3 linked regions of the Drosophila melanogaster genome follow. The protein of the gene in region 1 interacts with the protein of each later gene in a pairwise test. Each region holds a gene or a part of one and is shown in the gene's direction. Other genes may lie near its edges.

Region 1 (5,843 bases):
GGGCGCCAAACCAGTTCATCTGAATGGGTTTCATATTATTTCATAAGCCCATGCGACAGATCAACTCTTACCTTTTTCACCGAAAAGTAGTAGCACTTGCCGTTGATCCTGCGCAAATAGCGACGCGGGCAGGGGGGTCCTGATCCCAGGAGCTCGCCCCGCGGCAGGATGCTCAGCAGGGCCACGAGTGCAGTCAGGAGATGCTTCATTTCGCTCGCTTCCGCCGGTGCACAGTGAGCCGGCTCAAATCGCCTCCTGTACTTATATCCTCCGCTGGCCAGCAGTGCGCCCAATCGATTTGGAGCTCGCTGGAGCTGGAGCGGCATCTTCGGCAGCATGGCCAATTCAATTACAAGTCCATGCCGCCGGAATGCCTACGCCAATGTCGTGGGCTAATTTGCTCACCCGCCAGTGGGTCAGGTTTAGGGTCATTCAGTTTAATTGGCTATTAGATACACTCGAAGAAAACGAGCCGGAAAAGTCGCATGGGGTGCTGTAATTGCCAGTAATGTTAACCCTCTAAATTCCTTGATGGCAATTCATCCGCCTAATAATGGGCATATTGCGAGTAACTATTATATCATATATAGATGTTATAAAATTGTAATACAAGTTTAATGCAAATAAATTAAAAGATTATATATATGGTTTTGAAATAAGCAATAATTCTTAGCAGTATTCTAACTCATTCGAAGGTAGCAGAGCTTTCTTCTTCTGGAGTATGATGATGATAGATGGATATAAAATGCTTCAGTTCCTTTGACCCTGATCTGTCCTCCCATTTAGTTTGTATCTGCCGAAGTGAGTTAATTGCTGGCTATGAACTCGCTGGTAATCTTCAACAGCTCAAAAACGCTAAGAATATTAAGTTCTGTGATTCGAGCAACTGGAGTGACTTCATAGTCATTAGCATAACCCGCCCGAAGGGCTAGATGTCTGACCCGGCCTTGTTCTTTCCGATTATTGATTTACCTGGCAGGGTCGTGACATCAGCCATTGGATTGTCCGTGGCCAGGACACGAATCGCCCGCCTTTCCTTCTGTTGCCAGCTGACTCAGACGACCTTCGGTCGGATGACGATTGCGCCGGGTGGCCACAACAATTCGTGGGGCGTGTGAGTACCACGCCACCCCTTTCTGCCACGCGCGCTACTCTCACATATATAATTCTTTCGTATATTGTATCTCGATTGTGCAGTTGTATCTCACATGACATCATCAGCAATGGCAACAACAACGGCGGCCCCAGTAGCTCCATCGATTCATCACGGATTGTAGCTCTTTTTTTTAAGGCATCCAGAACTGGTGTGGAACGTGAGTCGGCAGACCTCAAATCGCAGTAACTCATAGATATTCGTTCCATGCCCGTATGTGTGTCCGTTCCGAGCTGGGTTCCCATGTAGCCCAAGCTACAGCTACAGCTACAGGTTTTCCTCTATCCGAGGCTTCTGCGCATTATTTCAGCTGCGAGTGCGACATCGACGAAAACAAAATCAGAGAGCAAAATCAAAATCCAAAACTAAAACCAAACCAAAACCAAAACAAAAACGACGCCAGAGGCTGTGAGAGAATCTGGGCTTATTGTGTTACCTTTTGGCCATGCTTCTAGCCGGTTTTCAGTGTTGACCACAAGTTGCCACAGTTTTGAATAAAGACTGAAGAACAAAATGCGTCGTATTACGCAAATGCCTTAAATAGGGCCGCTGGCCTTAGGAATTCCGCGTGTGTAAGCCATTAAGATATATATGTACATATATCCAAAGGATTTGGCGGGGAATATTAAACACTGCGGTTGCCTTATACGTAAGGCCACCTTTTTTAAGTTTAATAACTTATCATTCTACGAATGTATTTTAAGTATCTTTAAATACGATTTTAATTTGGAAAACAGCACAATATACTTAGCATGCATCTCTATACATATAGTTACATATTGTACAGTGTAGATTGCACGATTCCTTCCACTTAAATTGCTATTCTAGATTCTAGATTGTTAAGCAAGTCCAATGCCACATACATACATTCCTTAGCCATTAGCCATTAGCATTTGAAATGTCTGAATTCCCTTTGATTCACCCTGTTTTTTTTGAGCAGTAAAAGTAATTTTCAACACCTCGGCCGAGCCCACACATTCCATAATCTCGATACCCAGCAAGCGTAGAATAGAAACTATTATTTTCGCACAATTTTCGGCTCCTGCGGTGGCGATTGGCTCATTAAATGCGAAATGCGAAATGCGAAATTGGCCGAAACTAAATTATTTGGAAATGAGCCGAGTGTATGGGGCCATTAAAGTATCTCTGCGGAGAGAACCGAATCAGAATAAACACATTCCCGATCACAATCAGAAAGCGTGAATAGACCGCACTAGAAACTTGGGGGCGATTTCATTCGCCGGCTGCCCATTATGACATCACATACGCCGAATAATTTGAATACTCGAGCTTTGTTTGCCTCATTCGCATACAAGCATACTGTATATTACAAAGAAATTCCTCGGCTATTTCCGCCCGTTTCCGTTTCGCCCAACCGATTCGCACCCGGTTCCGAGTTGAGCGGCACAATGTTTCTATTTGAGTGGACGCACACGTCACTCCCAGTGAATGCAGATTCGAGGGGACAGCAAAAGCTGGCGCTCGTTAATTTCTATTAAATTGCGAATATAAGTCTCAAGTCTCGAATTTTAAGGCTGACGCCATGGGGCTGGCGATCACGATTTCAACAGCCCCTAGTTGCGCAGTTTCTATTAATAGGAAAGTGTCCCAGTCTAATCGATCCGATTTAGTCATGTAAATAGTTCATGCTCCAGCTGCTTTGTTTATGTTTCGGCAATTACCTGTCTGGAATTTGGAATCTGAAATCTCAAATCTCGCATCTTCGATCTGATCGGCGCTCCACCCTGCTGATTGCAATCAGGCTATAAATTATAATTAGCGCCAGGCCAGAGCTTAGTTAGCATTCAGAGGGCCAGTCAGCATGTTTCCTAGTCGCCAAAACCAAAGTAATCCCATCCAGCCAGCACAGTCAGGATCTAAAATGCACTCCTCATTCAATCCCCAGCTTCCTTGAAGAACTTCGGTGACAAGACCGCCAACCTCTTCAGCAAGAAGAAGGATGAGGCCGAGAAGCTGGCCAACGAGAAGGCTGCCGAGGCCCAGAAGCTAGCCGAGGAGCAGGCCAAGAAGGTGGGCCAGTCCGTACAGCAGACCAAGGGCGAGGCCGAGCAGTTGGCCGCCAGCACGGGTGAGTAACGAACATCCAAAAAATAATGAATGTAACACATAAAAGATGTCTTAGAGAATTAATTGGAGTTATTAATTCTAAAGACTTCCAAAAACTCTTGCAACGAAGAATTGAATGAGTCCCGTTTGAGATAACTTTCAAAATCAACTTTCAGTTCTTGCTAAAAATGTTTTCTCATTAGCATTCCATTTCCAATTTATCTAAAACGCAAATCTTTTAAGCATATCAAACACAAGAGAACTTAATAAATGGAATTCTTTAGTGACGCGTTGACGTAAAACATGTTTCCAAGAATAAGATTCGCATTTTTGAAAACATTTCTTCATAAATATTGAAATATTTCTATAATTGTGAAAAGCAATTTAATGTGCTAGAGATTTATAACTAAACAGAACATCAATGCTATGTTTTATGCTGGAGCAAAGCCCGACCAATTCAATAAATATCTTTAGGAGCACTTTTAAAGATATTTTGTAAGAATTTTTCCCACTAATATCTCTCTTTATCATACAGCCAAGGAAGCCGCTGCTCTGGCCACCGCGGAGGCTCAGAAGGCTGGACAGGCGATTGACCAGGGTGTGAACCGTGCCGCCGGAGCCGTCAACCAAGGCAAGCAGGCGGTGGACAACACGGTGGCCCAGGCGGCGGCCGTGGCCCAGAACTCCAAGCAGGTGGCGGCCAATGTGGCGGAGGCCTCCCAGCGAGCGGCCGCCAATGCGGTGGACCAGACCAAGAAGGCGGCCAACGACGCCATCAACAAGAGCGTGAAGGCCGCCGAGAACGTGGCGGACCAGAAGCTGAAGCAGGCGGAGGGCGCCATCGATGGGGCACTGAAGCAGACCAGTCAAACGGTGGACCAGAAGCTGCAGGAGGCCAACCAGTATGTCGACCAGAAGCGCCAGTCCGTCGAGAAGACCGTCCAGGATGCGGCCGGACAGGCCCAGGAGTCTGCCGGACAGCAGGCCAACGCCCTGTTGGGCAAGCTGCATCTGGGTCAGAAGTAGAGGCGTCTCCCTTCGCGGTGCCACCTAAAATATCTTGATGTGAAAATGCTTTAGATACAAAAACAAAAAAAATAGAAAGGAATTTGCTTCAATGTAACGAGTGCCAGTAATGTGATTGCTAAATCCTCAATTGAATATACACAATATATATATATATATATATTTACATATTTTTTGAATATCGCGCGGACGGATTATTTTGCAGCCGCTGCTTTCGATGTGAGCATTTCAGCACATCCTCTGTCCGTATCCGTACAAAGTGTAATTAACCCCTTCGTTCTTCTTCTTCGGCCGAATTTTGTTACTTTGAGGCATTTGATATTTTATATACAGCTGCGCTGAGTATGCTTTTAATATACGTATATTCTGTTTATGTAGAGATGTATGATTAAGTACCTTTAACTCTTGCACAACACATTGCAAATGTGTTTTTAATATATTGGATTCGAATGAGATTTGTGGTCTTTCAATTGGTGGGGGTGCCACTAAGCAAAGCGTATTATATGTATATATTTGGATATACTGATGTTATGTTGATTATATTATTACTGAAACTTTTATTAACTCATTTTCAATTTAGCGCCAAATGGTGATGTATGGTAATACTGTAATCTGGCCACACTGAATTTACTTCGGCTGCAAGCGCAAATAGCGCCACCTACATGTGGGATAGAACGCTGAATGGTTTGAAAACAGGGTATCCATGTTTTATCTCGCTTTTACCGTTTCATTCAAAAAAATTAAATTACTTTTTAATGAAGTTTTCAAACTACAAGTTTACTTGATGTATTTATTTGGGCTTACTATTTAATTACTGACTTATCTTGGCCATTGGTTGTTCAGAAAATAATATTATTTCTGGACATATTTTGAGCATATAATTACAGCTATATACAATTTCTTTAATAAAACCAATAAATCAGTTATAAATTCTACACATTCCACTGTTCACCCAAAAGTGGTAACATTTTATTTTGCTTCTAAGACAAAAGAAGTTTTTTCCGGCTTACCCTTTCCCCTTCCTCCAGAGCTGCCTGTCTCATTACAGAACCTTTTCACAGATCCAAGGTGAGCAGCAGGGGAAACTTTCGCAGAAAAGCGGACCATGGAGATGGACGGATCTATACAAATAGACCGAAACATGCAGAAATCTGCTAATAGAAGAGGTCATATTGTGTACTCCGATATGTCGGGCAACTTTTCGTCGAACAGAAGCCGAAAGTTGTGTTAGGTTTTAATTATGGGAAAAGTTTGTTGTGGCTAACAAGTGACCCCGGTGCATTGCAACGTCAATTGAACGCACAACTTCAAAGGACCAAAGGACGAAAGGACCAAAGGACGAAAGGACGCTAGGAATGTGTGCAAAGTATTGGCAGCAAAGTGCTGACATAAATTCAGGTAAGAGCGATTTTTAATTTCAGATAAGTGCGCCTGCTGACTGGAAAGGCGAATGATAAATGCATTCCATTTGCGATTCAAGTACTAGTGGGTGCGAGGCGCCAAATTCAAATTTATGCCGGCCACGCAAAAGTCGCGCCAATTAGGTTAGCCCAAGCGAGTTGATTTAAAGTTAAGCGATACGAGCGGCGCGATTAAT
Region 2 (3,517 bases), on another chromosome or scaffold:
ATCGGAGAGTACAGATGGAAGCCTACGTTGGTCATCTAGCTCATCTGGTGGCCCTTTAGCAATGGAAGGATCAGACGAGGTCCTCTCCATCATGCGGACTGCTTCCGTAAAGCTAGCTTTGGGCCTGCGCATATGTGGTTGGTGGTCGGGACTTTCTGCTACTGCTTCTGAATGTGGACTCAAGCCTGTTGTTTGATTCTGCTCCCCCAATTGGGTTAATAGTTTCAATATTACATTTGTCGGATCTGAGGGTCCTGCTGGCTGGGATCTCTGGGCTGCCTCCACGGCTGCAGTGACCATTGCGCGTCCCAATGTTTCGTAAATCGTCCTTATATTTCCCACATCTGGCTGGTCAATGGTGTTAGTACATTGATCCCGATGTCCAGGAGTTGCCTTCTCTAATTTGACAAACTCTTTCTGCGCTACGTGGACTCTTAGAGGTTCCTCCGGGTTCAATGACTTGGCATGGCCACAGCAAGGACACTCCGTCGCCATCCTTGATCCTTGCTCATTGTTAAACCTCGGAGGTGGTATGTAGATGGGCATAATACGGTCTTCTGGTCGAAGAACATAGTACACCGGTGGAGGTTGGTTTATGCTGCGGGAGAAATGACGAAACTGGCTTTGCGAATTCTTCCGCTTGGGTGTCGCATATTCCTCGGGTCGGATTCTTAAATTCCTTCGAGGAGGAGGGACATCCGTTGGAGGTCTTACATTCGGGGCAATGGAGACCGATCGACAAGGTCGCTCTGTCGATGTTCTGGAATTGGGGAACAAGGGTATCGTCTGCACCGAAATGGGCATGGCCTGCATCTGTCCACAGGAACTGGGCTGTTGGGACACCAGCTGGATCATAATGGTGTTCGGTGGACCTGTGCCGCTGGTGACCCTCGACTCCATCGCTATGGGAGATTTATCACGAGCAATTTGTAATCATTAATATCGCAAATAATTAGTTGTGTGACACCTACTGCGATTTAATGTTATATTTTGGAGTTTTATATTTCGATATGTATGGTATACGGTATAGCGGATGGGTTGATTAAAAACCAGGTTAGTAGTGCGGTAGTGCTATCACCAACAGTTAAGGGTAGTATATTAATATAAATATAAATGCGTAATTCTAATGACTTGTTTGCGTTAAGAATGTGGGGTTCCCCACGGTTAAGTATTAGGTATTTGAATAGAAGCCCCCAAATTTAAATTTCGATTATAAACCTTACTGTCCTAGTTTTGTACTATATTTAACTTATTGATAGGAGTGCTACCCAGTTTGGATTGTGGCACGCGGCATGACCTTTACGACACATCCATATAATCAAACTATTGCGTCAACAAAACTTAGGGGCGCGTACAATGCGCTGAGATACAGATACAGATACGGTGGGCGATACAAGGTGCGATTATTTTGAAACGATTTCATGTCGCTGCCAAAATAGAATTTCGCACAGGCTTCCCGCCAACGGAGATAACTGCTATTGATGAAAGCCAATATCAGTGCCGGTCTGGGGTATATAAGCTTGCGAATTCGCCCAGTTAAAGCACACTTACGAAACCAGTGGGAACTCAATTGCACCATGAAGTCCGGTAAGTTAGCTGAGCAAATCGAAAAGGAATCCCCATTTGAAATATACTTCAACCCTTTGCCGATCCCATAGCACTACTTTTGATCTGCCTTGCCTTCTTCGTGGCGCTCCTAAGCACCGGAAATGCGTGCGATCCCAATTCTGACAACCAGCCCGACTGCAGCGACGCATCCAACGTGCAAACGAACATCCGCAACTTCTGGGATCCCACTCGCTACTGGTGGTGTGAGTCCTCCACCTCCACGGCCACGGCTGTGTTGTGCCCGTTGTCCACTGGATTCGACCCCACAAAGAAGGAGTGCGTTTCATGGAGCGAATGGTCTTGGACTGCTTACTGTTGATTGCATTTTTAATAACAACAAAAATGAAAATATATGGCAAACTAAATGATTACATACATTGTTTGGATTTTTAAAATATCTCATGTTCTTGCGAGTATTCGAAGATATGGGAAAATGTTATAGAGCAACCTAGATTGGTATATAGAATATTTTGTTTCTGCTCAGTCGCTTTCTATAGGATGTTGAGTACAGTTGAGTGTTAACGAGTTTCATTATTATTTGTAAATAACATTTTTGAGATGTTTTTGTCCAAATGATATCTTGGAAACCTATAAAGATTAGACAGTACTCGTATTGCTACTAATTTGCATTTAATGCAATAAAATGTTTATGAACGAGAGAAAAGTAAATTATACTTTATCATATAAAGTATAAACAATATACTTTAATTTTACAAACAACTTTATTTTTTAACTAGAGCTTGGTTTCAAAATTTGTTTGTTTATTTCAAAAACACTGTGTCTCAGTGTGTAAAGTTTTACAGGGTATAAATTGTCTAAATAGGAGCCGGTCAATTCAAACAAATCATATGCAAATTTTTTGTTCAATAATATTTTAATATCATAACTAAGTATACTACAACACTTGGTGAAATATACTTCTTTGTTTGAAAACGAATTGTACGACGGCGTCAAATGTTCGAATTGTCGAGATACAGATACCAATCGTGATCATGAGATTATTTTTAAACGATTTCATGTTCTTTAAGAAATAGAATGTATAGCTCCGATTGTCTCAGACAATATGTCAGGGAATAGATAGCAGGTGGCTATAAAATGTCGAACGTTGCGTTCCAATCGCATTCGGTATTAATCACTCGAACAAACCACAATGAAAGCAGGTGAGTTTCATTGATGACCTCACATCGCTGAAACCATTGAGATGCCAATAGCGGAATTCTGTTTCAGCTTTAGTCCTTCTCTTCCTGACCCTCTGCGTTGCCATCTACGCCGACCTTGACTGCAATCCCGATGGCAATGGTGAGCCCGATTGCGTGGGACGCTCCGGAGAGATTTCCCGTGACTTCTGGGATCCAACCCACTACTGGCAGTGCTCTAGCACCGGACAGGCCGAGCTAGTTGCCTGCGAGCAGAACACTGGATTCGATCCGAAAACTGGAAGCTGCGTCGATTGGAGCGTTTGGCAGTGGTATCCTCCATGTTCCGAAGCATCCACTTAAGCAATAAACTTCTCTTGCAGTTTATACGTTTTTCATTAACTTTTTTTGGTTCATTTGTAATGGTATTTAACTGGGAAGATGGGCTTGAATGAAGTCTAGAATATATCTCTAGATTTCTCGGATCTTTATCGAATTTTTAACAGAGTATTTAATGCTTGAAAAGGTTAATGTTCCGGGTGATTATCTCGTTGGGAAGTGTAAAAAAAAGGGTTAGTCCGAGGAGGAATTAAATAATTGATCTCACAGACTATTAGCCCTCGAAATGTACAAGTACGCAACTTGCATTTTCTCCATTTTCGCTTTATGGAACTTTTGGGGCGTCAGTGCCAAAAAGCAGGATACTTCCACAGGAACAAATGAATTGCCAAAAGCACCAATGCCGTATTATACAATCGAGAATATTGATATGC
Region 3 (3,961 bases), on another chromosome or scaffold:
GAAAATTTAGCTTGAATTTATAATTATACATATGTCCAAATGTAATACAGCTTCAGTGTGTGTACACATAAAATTCAAAACCCAAAAAATCCACAAAAATTGCTATTTTAGTAGGTATTGCGTTGAACACATCGGTTCTAAATGTGGCTGTTGTGCCATTAGTTACTCTTCTGTCTCTGTCTCGGTTTGAATCTCCATCTCGCTCTCTTCTTTTTAATTTTCCCGACTTGGTGCGCGGCAGTTGTAATAGAAGTTTTCCGGCTTCATGCACCTCCGCCCTTGCACCACCCCCTTTCGGCGACCATTGTGGTGGATTCAGTACACTCTTAAAAATAAGATGTTTAATAAACATATAGCAGGTGGAAGCCGAATGGAGCGATTTGCACCAAAACAAAGTAATAAAAACAAAATTTTCTTATTTTTTGCTTATTATTTCCTATCGAAATCTATATACCCCAAGCTGTGATTATTAGATTAAGCGTCTGCGATGAGGTAGCAAAATTCTAGCACTGCATTAACAGAGCTGATTTCTGATCAGGGGTTGAGGACCTTTAGCCTGATCTTTCTTCTTGTTAATTTGTTTTGCTTATTTTGGAGCTGATTAGCTATATACCGATTAAAAGCTTTTCAATTGCCACTAAAAAAAAAGTATAAGAAACGGCGAAGACTTTTTAGCGCTGCATTTAAATTCACAAGCTTAACAGTATTCTTTTAGGCTGAATTTGCTCTCAAAAAAAGTACAATTGGTTTGGAAAATTTTAAATGTTTTTGAATGTAACCAAACACAGCGAAAAAAAATACAAATAATATTTCTTTAAAAAAAAGGATGTAAAGAAATAAACTAGTCTTATTAGTTTAATAAATACAATTTTTTAAGACACATAATTTCTATGTTTTTATAGACGGTACTTGTGGAGTAATTGAGTATACCAAATTCTTTAAAAAGTCTGTGGGAGTTCGAAGAAGGCGTTGCCGAACCTTTACCTATACAGAATATATATATTCTTCACCAGCATCACCAGCGGAGTCTATCTAGCCGTATTCGTTTGGCCATCTGTCTGTAAGCCTGTCTGTATGAACTGAATGAGATTCAGACCTCTAAATAGTTCCAATTCTTTCAGAACCTGTGCCAACAACACTCTAGATTCTTCATTGATTTCATCTAGTCTTGTCTTGTAAATATCTTAGTTCTTCTATTAGCTAAGAAATGGGTATCTGATAATCGAGGAATGCGACTATAGTGGTCTAACCTGTTAAGCGCTAAAATTCAAAGACATAACATAATTATACGTATGTATAAAAAATTAATCCATGATTACAAGGATTTCATACTTAATTATCCCTCCTCATTTCGAAAGTCTAATGATAACCCAGAAAAGCAAACAAGAACATTTGTTGCCGTAACACGTTTGTGATGCGTGAAAACGGAACATAAATGATCTAAAGTAATCTCAAACAACGTCTTCTTCTAAGTCGCCCTTAGTTTTTCTTAGCAACTGTTGCGGACTTATTAGATTAGGCTCGACTTCCCAGATAAGATTGATGTTGAAGGGTTCCCCCCGTTGAGCATAGGCATTGATACAGTGCTCAAATATTAATTTCCCAGACGTCTGGAAATTTTTTTCGTATTTTTGTTGGGTTAATTGTACTTGATTTTGTCAGAACATTGATAATACTTCGGCGCGTGACGACATGATGAGATTGCAGGAGAGTATAAAAGATCGGAGGCGTCCAAAAATTTTATTCACATTAGCAAGACTAACCGAAGTATCAGCACCATGAAGTTTTTGGTACGTTTTACATATACGCTTCAAAGAAAAACCTTTAAGAACTAAGTTGATTTTAATATTGTTACAGATCCTCTTCATTGCCCTATTCGCCGCGGCCGCTGCCCTACCTCAGTTTGGATTCGGCGGTGGATTCGGTGATCAGCAGCAGCAGCAGCAAGGAGGATTTGGAGGTGGATTTGGTGATCAGCAGCAGCAGCAAGGAGGATTTGGCGGTGGATTCGGAGGTGGATTCGGTGATCAGCAGCAGCAGCAGCAAGGAGGATTTGGAGGTGGATTCGGAGGTGGATTCGGTGATCAGCAGCAGCAACAGCAACAAGGCTGGTAAAAACCAATTCATAGCACCGTCTTAACGCAGATACCTCAATAAAAATATGACACCTTTATGATAAAAAAACAATTGGAATTTTTTACTTTATCGTTCTCGAAAATTTATGAGTTTTATGAAAATAAATTTATATTTATTATTCATTTATATTTATTAAATAGTGCCCAGAAATAAATACACTTAACATAAGGGACAACGGGAAATATCTTCTCTTTCAGATGTTCAAATGGTTTTACTTAAAACATTGTAAATATAAATAAAAGCCAAAATATAAAAGCCATATTATAAATATAAGCCAAATTTTCACAAAAATTTTGTTTTTCTTTGAAATATGTAACGCAACTAAAAAGCGGATTCAACATGATTGAAAAAACAGATACAATTTCGAGTATCCTAATCAATGGCCTCCTCAGCAGCCACCCTTTTGTGCTCCTCGATCTGCACCTTGTCCAGATCGACTCCATCTTTTTTGGCTGCCCGTATCTCGCCTTCCCCCTCCGATCCGTCTAGCTGGTTGGTCTGCCAAACTCCTGTCCACGGCAGTGACATCACTGACATGACCTTGACCAGACTGCTATGGTTTTCCTGGTCTAGATCACTCTCCCCATTTCCTTCCCGTATTCGTCTGTCTCCATCCGGCAACTGCAACTCCTCGCAGCACAGCATGGAAATCAGCAAGTGCTCAACGAAGAGGGTTCGCCGCAGCCTTTGAGATTCGTCCGTATCGTGGCACTGCACTTTTTGCTGTGCAATCCACTGAAGTAGAACATATCTGTCGTCGTCGTGTTCGAATGGCCCCCCGGAACTCAAGCCTAACGCCAGGGACTCTGAATTGGCTGCCTCCTCTGGAGGATCATTGTTGCTTAGGAGCTGGGGATCGGAGCTCACACGTCCAGTTGACAGCCATACGGATATATCGAATATCCTTGAATTCGGAGTTGTTTGCAACTGCGATTGGCGGTGGTGGCGCATGTGATTACGGGTAAATATTCGGCGTAGTGGCGGTGTGTCGGGCTCTAGGTAATTGGCGTGATCGATGTGGTTGTGCAGGAGATGTTTGGAAAGGTGGCGTATGGCCACCAGTTCGGCGGCCGACAGTCCGGCGCACATGGGGCAGACCACATATTCATTGGACACCCGATGTTGAACGTAAACATGTTCGATGAACCGCTTCGCTGTGAGCGCAAGTAGGCCGCAATGTGGACAGGTGAAGCAATTGGACAGGTGGACCAGCTCTGGGATTTCGCCGTAAAGCAGCGGAACCAGATCGTCCGAGTCAGGGAACAATTGCATGGGATGATTGGCGCGATGCTCTTCCGTTTCTATCTGATGATCGTAGCATATGTCACATAGGTTATAGTTCACGCAGCGCAAACACCGGAAGCGGCTACCCTGGAAGATCGTCATTTGACAGCCGTTGCAGCAAATGTTGCGGTGACCCATCCTCGATCCTTGTGCTAACTTCGTTCTTAGCGAATATACCTAAACTCTGGTCGAAAAAACGGGCAAAAGGGTTCTAAATTTTAACAAATCGAATCTATACAATGACATGATTTTCATAGATGTAAAATATTTCGGGGCGTTTGGTAATAACATATAATTCTACTTTTAAAACTATTTTTCAACCTAAATGTATCAAACTTACTCAAGCTTTCTACATATTTCCTTTGCCTCTTTTAAACAAATGTTTATTTTTGGAACCTTAAGTACAGCGAAAAAAAAGTTAAATAAACATGCACTGTACTATTTTGTCCGGTGAGCACAGCTATCTACGTGACAAATAACGATAATGCAATTTGTTTTCCAAACCTATATGAAACGAGAAATAAGCCCCCATTATTGATAA

What was found. The genes of interacting proteins can lie anywhere in the genome.
Region 2: the proteins of CG1648 (region 1) and Peritrophin-15a interact in a two-hybrid assay, tested with the Drosophila melanogaster proteins (one large-scale study listed by BioGRID).
Region 3: the proteins of CG1648 (region 1) and CG31775 interact in a two-hybrid assay, tested with the Drosophila melanogaster proteins (one large-scale study listed by BioGRID).

What each region holds. Positions count from the first base shown.
Region 1 is NT_033778.4:9,809,881-9,815,723, reverse strand, and holds CG1648 (uncharacterized protein), read left to right. Parts: upstream 1-2,949; 5' UTR 2,950-2,975; coding exon 2,976-3,000; intron 3,001-3,059; coding exon 3,060-3,242; intron 3,243-3,755; coding exon 3,756-4,246; 3' UTR 4,247-4,405; downstream 4,406-5,843. Other genes in the region: lectin-46Cb, read right to left, coding at 1-19, 72-209.
Region 2 is NT_033779.5:8,394,123-8,397,639, reverse strand, and holds Peritrophin-15a (Peritrophin-15a), read left to right. Parts: upstream 1-1,543; 5' UTR 1,544-1,577; coding exon 1,578-1,587; intron 1,588-1,658; coding exon 1,659-1,927; 3' UTR 1,928-1,975; downstream 1,976-3,517. Other genes in the region: CG13385 (uncharacterized protein), read right to left, coding at 1-900; Peritrophin-15b, read left to right, coding at 2,759-2,768, 2,836-3,107; lectin-29Ca, read left to right, coding at 3,370-3,517.
Region 3 is NT_033779.5:14,735,548-14,739,508, reverse strand, and holds CG31775 (uncharacterized protein), read left to right. Parts: upstream 1-1,739; 5' UTR 1,740-1,778; coding exon 1,779-1,790; intron 1,791-1,857; coding exon 1,858-2,115; 3' UTR 2,116-2,419; downstream 2,420-3,961. Other genes in the region: CG31835 (uncharacterized protein), read right to left, coding at 2,509-3,558.